Linked DNA regions of Drosophila melanogaster. The protein of the gene in region 1 interacts with the protein of each later gene in a pairwise test. Each region holds a gene or a part of one and is shown on either strand. Other genes may lie near its edges.

Region 1 (6,814 bases):
GGCAAAACAATATATTTGTAAATATATGTCATTTGTGTAGTTAAATTGAAAGTTTTCACCGTGAAACGCACTATGGCCACATTCCGTAGATGTTTTGTATATTTCCTGATTGTTTTTATTTACCTGCATGATTACTTGTTACTTTCATTTATTGTATGCCACCTTTATGGTTTTCTAACCCCGTGCATGTGCTAAGCTTTTGCTTTGTACTCATCGTACAATTCTAACCGTGCCATTTTGACTCTCTTTCAGATGACGAGGGCATTGCAGAGTCGGGCATGTAAAGCCATTCCAAAACCCAATACTCCAGCCAATCCAAGCCAGCCAGCCAGCCAACCAAGCAACTGAACTCAACTCAACCGAATGGAAACCCAACCCAACCCAACAGAACCCAACCATCTTGTGGCAACTACATTATTATTTACTTAAGGGACGAAGTGCGAAGAGAGCGCGGAGGAGGATCAACGCTTGATATTATACTTGGATATATGTGTACTACACTGGATACTACTGGATATATATATATATATATACTCTACACCGCGATCTATCGAATGGGAATGCAGCAATCTCGCCAAACAGAACGAACACGCATCAATTTATACATTTTATATATATATAAAGATATATATATCTAAGATAACGAGGAATCGGCGTACAATGTAACCGCAATTGCCGCTTCAAACCGACGGCAATACTAAATACTGGAATACTGATTGTATTTTTACGCTAGCCACAATTTGATATAAACTATATATCTTCCAATTTTTTTGTACACCTAATGTTAGTTGAAATATGTGAGCGAGACGAGCAAATTTTTGTAGCAAACTAAAAGCGCTAAATGTTTACTTTTTTATATTATTATATATATAAATACTTGATAAACATATACCTAATATTAGATCTAAACTAAACTAACTATAAATCGCACACACTCATACACTCACACAAAAACACAATGCAATAATTGAGTTACATAGTTTTAAACAAATGTTAAAACATTTTGCTGCAACCGTCGGAGATGTAGTGTACAATTTTTAGTTTCTCGTATTATTTTTTTTTTTATGTCTGTTTTGTGTTTAAATTTTTTGTAACTTTTTACAAAGCGTAAACTGTGTATGTATGTGCTACATTGATTTTTGTTTAATTATATCAAGTTTTTATTTAAAAAATCGAACACCACCTTGCATTCTCCTCATTTGAACGTGGCGCTCACACTTATTACTTATATAGGTCAAATACAGCGGGCTCTGGTGATCAATCCAATCAGCAGAAAGTAATGAAAAACACCGAAGTTAATGTTTAAACATAAACACACAATGAGAAAAGAGTCGTGTTTCCATATTCACTTGATTTAATCGGCATGCGATGTTACTCACAGCGAAAGGAAATTCAGCAAGCTTGAATCGATAAAATTGTTGTATATATTAAATAGTTTAACACTGTGTAATTTTATTTATCCTAGCTCGATTCTAAGTGCTTGCGTAAATGATCATTTAAATTTTCTAACCCGAAAGAACTTATTTATTGGTTTATTTATACAAAATTGAAATGAAGTGCATATGGAAACACAACTCAAAAACAGACAGCACAAATAGAACAACAGGAACAAATGACCAACGCATTTCGAAAGGCGATAATCATTTACACGAAAAACCAATATAATTAAACAGAATCCCACGCAAACTGAAGACTAACTAACAACCAAGTTAAGGGCTAGTTAATGGAGCCGGTGCCAAAGCAAAAAAGGAAAAATGATAACAACACCTACACACACGACAACTAAATGTAACAATAGCAATACATTTTAATGAAAATTGTAGTCCAAATAATTTGCATACATTTGTATTTTGTCCAAACTTAGTTGAAATGATTAACCGAACTGTGAAAGAGTGCAATAGAAATCGTTTTGCTTCTAGATTAGTGAAAAATACAACGAAGCCCCTAATTTGAATACGAAGCAACCCAAAATCCCCGCCCTCCCGTAATAACAATAAATACATATGCATAATTATGCAAAAGTTTGAGAAGATGAAACTAGAAAGTCTGTATAATGCATACATAATATACGACTCCATTATACACACACACACGCATACTAAGGCCGATGAATAACATATGCATATACAATATAGACATATATTAAATATATATCATTGTAATAATTTGTAATGTTTATCAGTAGAATTATGATCCGAGGTGGAGCAGACGAGTAAAACGCATGCAGAGATCCATTAAAGTGTACTGTAAAATGTGCCACACATTGTTTTATCTAAATTTATTAAAGGATTTATTATTTTGCAGAGGGTAAGTTCTAAAACTTAAAAACTAGTCCTGTTTGGAAGATCCTAATCATTGCAACGTTTTATAAATCAAAGCCGAACTCTTACTCTAGTAAAAATTTGGCTACGTTCGGAAAATTAGCCAGAACATAGGAAAAACCCTACTGAATTAAACAAAAAAAAACGTGTTTAACATTTGGCTACGATCGTGTTAGTATTGCATACTTTTAGGTCCATCTTTTTGCACAGAGTTTTGTGTGAATCAACAATAAAATTGGCACTGGAATTGGTCGATGGCGTCCCACTACTGATTGCCAGGCGCCGTTGCTCCTGTAGTCTTCATGGCCAGCATGGCGTCCAGTTCGCCCTGGATGCTCTCGAACTGATTGTACAGTTCCATTAGTTCCGGTTGTGTCATTTCGATGTTGATATCCTCGCCGACGGCCGTTTTCATTTGGAGCACGGCCAGCGGGGTCTTCTCCCGCTGCTGGCAATGCGAGGAGATCTCCATGTTGAGCTTCCAGGCCACATCTTCGATGACATTTGATTCGTACCGCTTGCTGGCCAAATTGTTCATAATGGGCGTCGTTTCGCGCACCCACAAACGCAATATGGCATCGATCTTGGCCTCATCCTCCAGCTGGAGTTTCTCGCGCAGCTCACGCTGCAGCAAACTTGGCTTGATGATAAACGTGGAGATGCGACGCAGGATGTAGGAGAAGGTCTTGATCAGCAGCAGGAAGTCCTGACGCGGTACGCCCACCAATCGCTCCAGTTCCTCGAGTGTGTACTCCGGTTCGGTGTTACTTGTGGGGTTCTCCTCGGTGCTGCTGTCCACCCGGCCGGTGGTCGTCACACTGGTGCCCACTGTACTACTGGTGGCACTCGCCGATGCTACGCTGGGACTCATCTGCCGGTGGGTGTAGAACAGAACCGTCGTAAAGGTCTCGTAGGGCAAGGCATTGATGATTTTGATGCCCTCACGGGCTCTAAGATATAAATGCAAGAAATTAATCTCTATAAGAACATTGATATTACATACCTTTCCGTGATCTTTATCCAGTTAATGCTCATTGTGAGATATATTTAAAAATTTTTAAGGAACATAGAGTTATTAAGTCTTTACCAGCACTTCTTTTATTATGACTTTAATATTATTTGTTTATACAGACCAACAATATACAAAAAACTATCGACTTGCCACGGTGCGGTGCTGCCACACAGTTACTACTGCCAATAATAACGGTAAGTGCTGACTAAAATACAAAAATATTACATTTTGCGATGTGATTTTAAACATATTCTTTATTAATTTTTTAGATTTAAATGTTTTATTAAATTAATTTATTTTTCTGTATTTAGGCCTGAATAATTTACCTTATAAAATTACAATGTTTTAAATAATATTTGCTGTTATGTTTCCTGCAAAATAAAATTCGTGAAAAAAAGCCGCACCAGCAAATATCAATACCAGATTGTCGACGGCACCGACGATCGACGATTCAATTTGTAGAAGATTATCAAGTACGAATAGTTTTCCAACTCATTAATATAATCGTCCTACCTGGCAACTCCGCTGATGCCTATCGATGCTCCGCTCGATAGCGCCAACAATCGATAAGCAGTATTTGTGTATTGGAAACGCGGCTTAACTTAATGCAGATTTTTCCGCTGATTCGGCTGCGAAAGATGCACTTTTAAGGCGCAGCGAGTGCACCCACGCCCCGAGTTCGAGTGCAGTTGCAGTCGGGAAAGCTTGACAAGTGCGCGGAGCAAGGAGAGCGACGAGTTCGTTGAGCTACAGCGAAACGGAAAAGTGTAAAAGCGGGGTAAACAGGCGCAGCGGAGCGGATGATAAACGGAACTCGGGATCGGAAAATTGGAAGCAAAACCAACCACCGATTATAAAAAATAGTCAGCATCTTAAAAGTAAGGATTTCAAGCTAAGGTTTCAGCGAAAGCCCGAGAAAAACAAAAACCCCAACTAAACTAACGGAACAGTGCGTCGGGATATATGCATGTGTATGTGGTATACGTATGTGTGTCTTTGGCTGCGTGCGATTGTATTGTTCCTGTGTAAATAAACAAAACCCGGCTCTTTAGTCTTCCACTAGTTCGTTTCGCGTTTCTCTGCGAGGAATTTTTGTTGAAAAAACTCAATTTGGCATAGCATAACTTCCAGTTTATTTCCCTATTCTGCAAACTGTGTGTATCAGTGTGCTGGTGCTTCCAGCATGCCGTAAAAATCGATAGCGCGTCGTCGGTTGTTTATTTTATGCTTCGTCTGCATTTTGCAGCCCCTTTTTATCGCTCTCCCCTTTTCAGCCACCCTTGCACACACTCACACTCTCTCCGGCGGAGTCGTGTGATGCATACACACACACACACACAGACACATGCATACGCCTGATACGGGAAATTAAAAATAATACTTTTTATCGCGGCATGCAAAAGGCAAAGCTGCAAAAACAGAAACAATTCCAATTCCAACAGCAATAATCTAGCCATGCAATCAATTTTAGCCAAACAATAAAAAGAATCGTTTGGTTTCAGTTTCCCCGCTTTTCTTTTCCGTTATTTTCCTCTCTATATTCGGTTTTATCGCATTTTCCGCTCATTATGGCAGTTTAGCATATTTATGCTGGAAAAATATTGGGGTTTCTTCGCTTCTTACCTTTGTTTTACGTTTTGTTTTGCTGTCGGGCTGTAAAAACAGCAGTTAATCCAATTAAGAAAAATAAAACTCTAAATGCCATCGCCACCACGAATTCGAAATCACCTTTTATCTACTCAAAAGATATTCATCTTATTTATTTTCCAAGATAAATGTTAAATTATAAATATATTATAGAACCATACACTTGTTGAAATAGAATTTCTGCTAACAGCTGCGAGTTTTACAGTCATAACTATTATTATTATTTATTAACTTAGATTTCTACAGGCTGCGATTTTATAAAAATGATTCAATTTTTTATCTAGACTTTGTTATTAAAATTTCTACATAAGCAGAAAATAATTGCTGCAATGACAAATATTTCATTTTCAGCTTGTGTTTATCGTAGCTTATTTTTTGTTAAATGTATATTAAAGTATTTACTCCCCTTCTCATGTAATATACATATATTGAAAAAACAGTACTTTTGTCTATTAGAATATATTTATACCCTCACTTATTGGTTCATCTCGAAAACTGGTCGAGTAAACTGAGAATCTTGAGATAGTTTCTTGAATTGGATATAATTTGCATGGTTGGCCAATCTTTTGGGTCGGCTATGCCCGCCTCTTTGCTTCGTAGAGGAGCTTGGGCACCGGGCACTTGCAATTGGCACCAGCTTCGGGCCAGTCAGTCCGCCAGACTTGGTCTTTGGGTCGAGATGTAGAGCTGGATAGTGTGCCACACTATATAGGGGATACTACTGCGATACAGACACCGCGGACACGGCTGACATGCATTAATGCTGCGAATAATGCCTATTGCAGACGGGGATAATGGAGTCACAGAAGCGGCCTTCGTTGGACTTACACACGGATGTGCCAGCAGGATTAGCAGCTGGAGGATCTGGCCTGGGAGCTGCAGCTGAGATGTCGCCCACTTCCGGTTTCCTGCCGGACATGCCGCAGTGGAAGAAGGACCTCATCCAGCGCCGGAAAACGAACGTGGCCCGCACCCAGGCGGCGTCCATCACCTCGCCCACCGATGGCAGTTGTGGGGCTTTGGCAGAAGCCAACGCAGCTCCAGGTGCAATTGCAGGTGAGTGGTGGTTGGACAAACTGGAATACTTTCACCTGACACGCAAATTAAAGGTATTTTCAAGCCAAGCATTTCTGTCAAGGCATGTTAGGTGCAAGTATTCGTATTTCTAATCGCTATTTCTTGCATTCTTGACAAACGAAATAATTGCACTTACTTTTGAGCTCCATACTTATCCCTTTTAAATGATACCGTTCGGTACTTAAAATAAATTCAACGAACTATAGACTTCGGAAAGGTTTTTAAAATATTTAAAAACTGCCGTAGCAAATAGTAATCAGGGTGAAATATATTGACTGGAAAAATGCGAAAGACTAATTGTGACTTACACAATCTGCAATTGCTCAGTTGGCGTTAACCAGCCATGAGTAATGGTAACAAGTGTTTTTAATTCATTTTGCCAACTTTTACGATTTCCAATACCAGTATACTTTTAAATTAGCCGCCTTACATATTCGCTTATCGATACGATATTCGCTTATCGATAGCTCACAGAGTTGTCAGATTGCGGACGAATAAGATAAAAAAAACCAAGTTATGTTTTAATGTTCTGTCTTTATAACATTTGTATTTGCTTTCTTTCTTCAATTTTTTTTCTAACAGATTTCACAGAACCGGCGACAATCAGTAGCACTAGTCAAAAGAGAAACATGATCGGTTCAGAGGAAAAGTCTGAGAAATCTTCTATTTCCAATACCAATTCCGATTCCACTGGAGGTCATCACTCTGTTGTTGCCGTCTCCCTTTCGCCCGATGCGGCAGCAACAACAAATGTAAC
Region 2 (7,367 bases), on another chromosome or scaffold:
AAAAGATATTTTATAATGTACCAAAAAGTGAAGTGATTCCAAGTCAATACGTAAATACATATTGTTTAAAATATTAGTTTATGTTAAGAACTGCTATCACTGGCCCTAATCGCCTGACCGCCATTGTAGCTATGCTAATTTCCTTTACCCATGCATAGATATCGGAAAAGCACTTTATGCATATAGATAAATATAAATACATAGGGAGCTAATCCGGAACAACGCCCCATTGCAGAAAACTGGATGTCGATACCCGTGGGCATGCCCAACTGCCCGCAGGGACTGGAATACCTGACCGCTCTGGACCAGTTGCTCGTGTCGCAGAAGATCGAGAAACTGGAGCTGCTCACCGGCTTCGAGACGAAGAACCGCTTCAAGGTGAAGAACTCACTGGGCCAGAATGTGTACTTCGCGTACGAGGAGAGCGACTGCTGCACCCGCAACATGCTCGGCCGGTCGCGCCCCTTCGAGATGAAGATACTGGACAATTTTCAGAACGAGGTGCTCCACCTGTACCGGCCCTTCAAGTGCGACATCCTCTGCTGCTTTCCCAGCTGCATGAACGCCGTGGAGGTGTCGGCGCCACCCGGCCAGGTGATCGGTAGCGTTGAGCAGGTCTGCACCTTCATGCGGCCCAAGTTCAACATCAAGAACACATGCGGCGATACCGTCCTGCAGATCGAGGGACCCGTCTGTCCCTGCAAGTGCTTCAGCGATACCAACTTCAAGGTCAGTACGCAGCCAACAAGTGGTTATTCTTGGCTCTCGATCTCGATTCCCAATGCCCAAACAAGTGTATACACACACAGCAGCGGTCAGCGGATTAGCTTTAAATTCTTCGGAGGAGTACATATGTATGGTCTTCATCAGTCAAAGACGAAGCTTTATAAAATTCCAAAATGAACAGTATCAGGCGTCCACTTAATTGCTTTTTTAATTATTAAACATTTATAAGTGCCTATATACATATATTCTAAATAATTATGAACAGACAGAAGCGTTCAAATTAATAGCACCCACACTAGTTTTAAATTTTCAATTGTATACGTTATTTAACAGATGCCTCTAGATATAGGAAAATCAATCAATCAATTTATACTTTTTATGGCTAAAATGCACCAAGTGTTTGTGCCGATCTATGAGCCCTTTTACTGACCGCTGCTGTGATCGTACAGAAGCAAAGAGACTGCAGTCCGAGGCAGTGACGTCATGGTTAGCCATGCCTGACTGTCCAGAGCGAGTCAATTAATTGCGATGCCGCGAACTGCGAACCGATTAATGCGAAACGCAAACATCTCTCGCCCCTTTAACCGCGCACAGGTATTGAGCGCCAACAACGAGGAGATCGGCAAAATCAGCAAACAATGGTCCGGACTGGGAAGGGAGCTGTTCACCGATGCGGACTACTTCAGCGTCACCTTCCCCCTGAATCTGGATGTCCGCATGAAGGCGCTCATATTCGCAGCGCTCTTTTTGATTGTGAGTATATCAGTATATCATATATATCACTGAGTGAAATAAAGCATATGCCAGTGCTATATACTCGTTTCCCTTCATTGATTTGTGTTTGTCTTAATTCCAGGACGCGGTTTACTACGAGCAGTAGGCTGTATGATGAATCGCATTCTAAAGGAACAAACGCCCAAACATTATAATCGCCGACTGCTTTTTGGTTCGACGTGTTGCATGGTCATAGCTCTAAGAACTTTTTAACCCCTTATTTGATTAACGTTTCCGGGAATCTGAACAGTGCAACGCTTTGATCGATACGGAATCTCCGCAGCAAAGGAATCTCCCGCACAACTTGGATCTGAACCGCAGTTGCACCTTCGTTATTTTATGAACCTCGGTTTTGGCATTTAAAGCTCACCACAATGAAGCACTTACTGACAAACGCACAAAACGGAAAACAGAAAGCAGACTACACACGAAGAATCCGACGAGAACGAGTGCCTTATGACGTCCTAGTTATTGTCGTCGCCCCCGTCCCGTTTCCCCAGATTTATATACCTCGACAGACCTAGCTTTGTTGTACGCATAGGTCGGAGCACAGGATAACTTAATTGCAACCATGGCGTACCTAACTAATTTACTATTACCTTTTACCTACTACATATTACATATTACATATATTTTTGTATGAAACTAATTGCAATCGAATTGTTACCCATTAGAGTGGCCTAGTGAGCCAGCTTTCAAGGCATTTTGAGATCGAAAACATCTCCTCCTTTTTGGTACCGCTCCTGTGGCGCCGCGCAATTTTCATCACCTTCACATGTACTTCATGAATTTATTTATATCTCAGTTATGCTGTAAAATAAACAAACTATGTTTTGTACAAAGCAAATGCGAAATATTCACAATCGGTGGCATTGCGGATTTGGATTTTCTGTACAGAGGACTCTAGCGATTGTTCGTTTGCATCGTGATTCAGTCGTGAACATTAGGAATGTAACTGGGCTAGGCTACTAAGGTAATGTGCATCTCTATCTGTCCCTAGTTGTTCTTGGCAAAGTACTTCGTCTTCTCCTCAGGATTGGGAACGATCTGTAAAGGTAATGGTATCAAAAAGAATTTACCTAAGGCAATGCTTCAAAAAACCTACCGTATCGGCACCTGGCCGCCAACCTGCTGGGCAAACCTCTCCATGGGTGTCCGTATACTGGAAGGCCTGAACCAGACGAATAGTCTCGTCCACAGAGCGTCCCACGGGCAAATCATTCATGGTGATCTGTCGCAGCACTCCGGTCTGATCGATAATGAAGAGACCGCGCAGCGCATGACCGCTGGACTCCAAGTAGACTCCGTAGTCCTTGCTGATCTTATGCGTTAGATCGGAGAGCAGTGGGATCTTCACGTCGCCCAGGCCGCCCTCCTTGCGCGGCGTGTTTATCCAGGCCAAGTGGGTGAAGTGCGAGTCCACGCTGACGCCAATCACCTCGGTCTTGATCTTCTTGAACTCGGCGATGCGGTCGGAGAAGGCAATGATCTCCGTTGGGCATACAAAGGTGCTAAAATGGCAATGAGAAATGCGATCATACTAAATGTAAATGTAAACTTACAAGTCCAGTGGGTAGAAGAGTAGCACCACATATTTCCCTAGATACTGGGACAATGATAGCTTCACAATCTCCTTATTAACCACGGCGGTGCCCTCGAACTGCGGAGCTGGCTTGGAAACTGGGGAAATAAGGGTAGCAGCAACTTAATAGTGATCCCTGGTTTTTTGCATCCAATGGAACTCACTGACTGCCTTGGTGTACTGCAGCTGATGGTCGCCCTTCGGCTGGTCGGGATAAACGGAGCCGCCGGCGAAGGAATAGCACGATTCATTATCTTCCGGCTTGGCAGCTCCAACGAGTGCCGCGGACAGCAGTAGGACAGATAAGTACTTGGACATGATTGGGCTGAAACGAGATCCACGTACGTATATGGCTATTGGATTCGGTTTATACGCTATTTATTACACGCGGCCTTTACAATTATTGCCGCTCTTTATATTTATAATAAATCTGTGTACAGTGGTCGCCCAACTATCTTTAATTTTGTAAATTATGTAAAGATATATAATTTTGAATGTTAATTAGGAACAAAACTAAACTTCAAAGAAAAGATACTCCTTCTATGTACTAAATCCTTGTTCCGTCCGTGTCAGCCAGTCTCTACTGTACGCACATACCCAAAATTCGAACACGCCCACAACTTGTAGCCACGCAGTCAAAAAAGTAACTATTTCAACGGGCAGAACTTCAATTGATTTTGGTGGAACGCGCTTATTGTTGCTGCGCTTCCGAAAAGATAAGCTTATCAATTTCATTCACTTCACTGCTATTATAATTTATAGTTGTCAGCGTGTAACCGATTTAAACAAATATAGTTTACAAAACTACTAAAATTCCAATGCCAATGCGATTGCCTAGCTCCGATTTGAATATTTATTTTTAGTTGCAGGGTAGTTAACTTGCTTGCATTAAGCAACAATGCAAACGCACAGCTGTTACCTTTTAAGCGCTATAATTAACTCTTTTTGTTTTAATAACAAATTGTTCTGCCGGCATTGGTGTGACCGTAATACGCAAAAATACCATACTGTCGTTCCGACACCAATGCATAGTTCAGCATTGCCAACATAAATTTCATTATGAAATATTTGAATTTTCATTTCATATTAACGCGTAACTGCAATTTTGAAAGAATATTATTTTAGAAAAAATATCTGTGCTGCATTGGCGAATCAAAAGCGATGTATGGCCATGCTATGATCTATCCAATTTTTTTTAAGTAAAAAACACTTTCTCAGTTAACTTTTACTTACGCTATAAACTTTATTAAAATATATACAGTTTGTCAAGAAACTGTTTACACACTGTGAAATAAGTTGAATTTTTGACTTTAAAGCTAAAAATAAAGGGTTTTTTGCTTAATTAAACGCAATTTTTTTATAAAATATAATTAAACAATATTTATTTTACTTATAAATCAAAAAACAAATTAAAAATATTAAATATACAAGAAAATAAACAACAAATTCCAAGTTTACACACTTTTGAGACTGTCAAGAAACTCTTTACACATTTTGTTTTCCTACTTTGTTTTGTTCTTTTTCTTAGAACGAACTCGATTTTTCCGTTATTTTTGGCTTTGCATTGCTTTTTACAACGCTTCTATTGAAATTTTGTTGACTTTGCTTGTGAAATTTTGCTGATCAAACGTGCTTAAAGCGAATTATTAAATTTAATAAAATGCCTGGAAAGAGATTAACTTTTGAAGTTACCCAATTAATAAACTATAACCACCAGTTGGGAAAATCTTTTCCAGAATTAGTATAAATGTTTCCTGTATCCCGTAAGACCGTCTACAATGTTTTAAAAGGCTCGGAAAAAGAGGGCAGGCTTGAACCTAAGAGCGGTGGTGGGCGGAAAATTAAAATTAAAAAGCGTGTAGACCGCTTTATTATGCGAATAGTGATTGCGAACCCCCGAATCTCGGTCAGATCACTTGCTCTGGATATCAGGCAAGAATGCCACCTAACTGTGTCACACGAAACTGTGCGCCAAGTCATCCTACGCCATAGGTACTCTTCAAGATTTGCAAGGAAAAACCCTTTGCTATCAGATGCCAATATGGAAAAGCGTCATTAATTCGCTGTGAGCATGATGGATCATGCGGAAGAGTACTGGGATGACGTCATATTTTGTGACGAAACAAAAATGATGCTCTTTTATAACGACGGGCCAAGCAGAGTATGGCGCAAACCGTTGAGTGCGCTAGAAAAACAAAATATCATTCCAACGATAAAATTTGGAAAAATGTCACTGATGGTTTGGGGCTGTATCACCAGCCGTGGAGTGGGAAAACTAGCCTTAATTGAGAGCACAATAACTGCCGTGCAATATCTAGAAATGTTAAAAAACAAATTTGAAGGCCAGTGCAGAAAAATTCGGTCTAGTTAGCAACAACAAGCCAAATCTTAAGTTTTACCAGGACATGATCAGAAACATAAAGAGTGCAATGTACGCACCTGGCGCCTTAATAACTGTGGTAAAGTGATCGATACGCCCCCTCAGAGTCCTGATCTGAACCCCATTGAAAATTTGTGGACCTACTTAAAGAAGAAGGTGGCAAAAAGGGACCTAAAACACAACAACAGCTTATGACTGTAATAGTCGAAGAGTGTGAAAAGATCCCGTTTGAATATGACCTGCAAAAACTTGTCCAATCCATGAAAAAAAGGCTTCAACTTGTAGCTAAAGCCAATGGGGAACATACTACATACCAAAACTTTTAAAATTTTAATAAAATAATTAAAAAATTTAGGATTAAACTTCGATTTAGTGTTTTGTGTAAAGAGTTTCTTGACAGTCTCAAAAGTGTGTAAACTTGGAATTTGTTGTTTATTTTCTTGTATATTTAATATTTTTAATTTGTTTTTTGATTTATAAGTAAAATAAATATTGTTTAATTATATTTTATAAAAAAATTGCGTTTAATTAAGCAAAAAACCCTTTATTTTTAGCTTTAAAGTCAAAAATTCAACTTATTTCACAGTGTGTAAACAGTTTCTTGACAAACTGTATATCAATATATAAATTGCTCGCGCTTAAAAATTAGGTTTACGGCTGGAGTTAAAACAACACGTACACGCGTCTCTCTGCACGTTTAATTGCTACGACCAATAAATATAGATATTTCTCTCTTACGGCCTAGATGATATAATATGCATTGCATCCTCTAAAAACTACAACAAATTGAGCAAAAGTCTGTGTTAATTTCACAAAAAGCGAACATTAAAAGTACATTGCTTAGCATGCGAATTACTCATTTACTGTGTTAGCTTTGATTGAGAATTGTTTTTGTGGGCGTTAATGGTGGTGTTTCTTGTTGTCGATCCACATGGTGTTGTGTTTGCTGCCGCATTTATTGCAGATGAGAAAAGGGTGAGAAAAATGCACCTGGCCTTCTTCCGGGCCGCGGTCTAGCTCTCCCAGACTTCGTCCCGCTGTTTGGCAGCTAGCAGTTTGCGTTCTGAATAAAAAGATAAGGCAGATTAATAAAAGACCAAGGGAAGGCAGCGCCAATGATTCCAAATCAAGTATATCCTTGACCCAGTTTAGTTACATGGCCCGCACTCACCTTTGGCTTCACGTAGTACCCGCCTCTCGTTCTCCCGTTCCTGCGGCGCCGTGGGCAGCTTGACTCCCAGTGCACCCGATACCAGTCGTCGGGCCAAGGCCGTGCAGGTTTCCGGACGCTGGCGATAGGGCTGCATTGACACCGCGCCGGCCTTCTTTGCCTTCAGTCGTGACTCCAGAGTGGCTTCCGCAAGTGGCTTCAACTTGACAAACGGATGCCCCATCGTCAGCACCTCAGCAGCTGCGGAGGAAACGTTCTATTTCATTACCGAACCAATCTCCGGTTGCATTTGTAGGCACTCACCAATGCGGGAACTGCTGAACACAGCCAGGGCATGGGTATCGTCTACCCACTTGATGTCGAAACCACTGCCCCTGTACTGGGCGAAAAGCATGAGCAGGTCGGGAGTTTTGAACTCCACTGGGAAATTGGACACCTCCAGAACGTGCGGAAATTCCTCTTCGTTGAGCAGTTGTTGTTTAATGTGAAAGACCTGTACGAATTGTGGAACAGAGTGTTTAATTTGATGATGATGCTGGTTAACCAGTTATATCTACTTACCGTATAGTCCATTTTGGGCAGCTCTATTTTGCACTTGCCCACGGATTCAGTCAGTTCTTGGAGTAACTTGGGATCCAGACAGTCGCCGCTCTCGTCGAACATCTTCTCCCAGTCGTCCTCGTCCTCCTCGTCATCGTCTTCGGTGGTGCTGTCTACAGGTGGTTTCGCTGTGG

Evidence for each region.
Region 2: the proteins of Vlet (region 1) and Prx4 interact in a two-hybrid assay, tested with the Drosophila melanogaster proteins (one large-scale study listed by BioGRID).

Annotation. Positions count from the first base shown.
Region 1 is NC_004354.4:11,675,079-11,681,892, forward strand, and holds Vlet (valette), read right to left. Parts: upstream 3,474-6,814; 5' UTR 3,357-3,473; coding exon 3,325-3,356; exon of another isoform or gene 3,272-3,324; coding exon 2,587-3,271; 3' UTR 2,266-2,586; downstream 1-2,265. Other genes in the region: bif (bifocal), read left to right, coding at 5,775-6,036, 6,640-6,814. UniProt on the Drosophila melanogaster protein: Scaffold protein in the commander complex that is essential for endosomal recycling of transmembrane cargos; the commander complex is composed of the CCC subcomplex and the retriever subcomplex.
Region 2 is NT_037436.4:3,039,085-3,046,451, reverse strand, and holds Prx4 (peroxiredoxin 4), read right to left. Parts: upstream 4,094-7,367; 5' UTR 4,002-4,093; intron 3,903-4,001; exon of another isoform or gene 3,680-3,902; intron 3,408-3,679; 5' UTR 3,401-3,407; coding exon 3,247-3,400; intron 3,181-3,246; coding exon 3,063-3,180; intron 3,012-3,062; coding exon 2,606-3,011; intron 2,548-2,605; coding exon 2,497-2,547; 3' UTR 2,278-2,496; downstream 1-2,277. Other genes in the region: scramb2 (scramblase 2), read left to right, coding at 236-729, 1,321-1,479, 1,583-1,606; CG2162 (uncharacterized protein), read right to left, coding at 6,476-6,525, 6,634-6,873, 6,937-7,126, 7,195-7,367.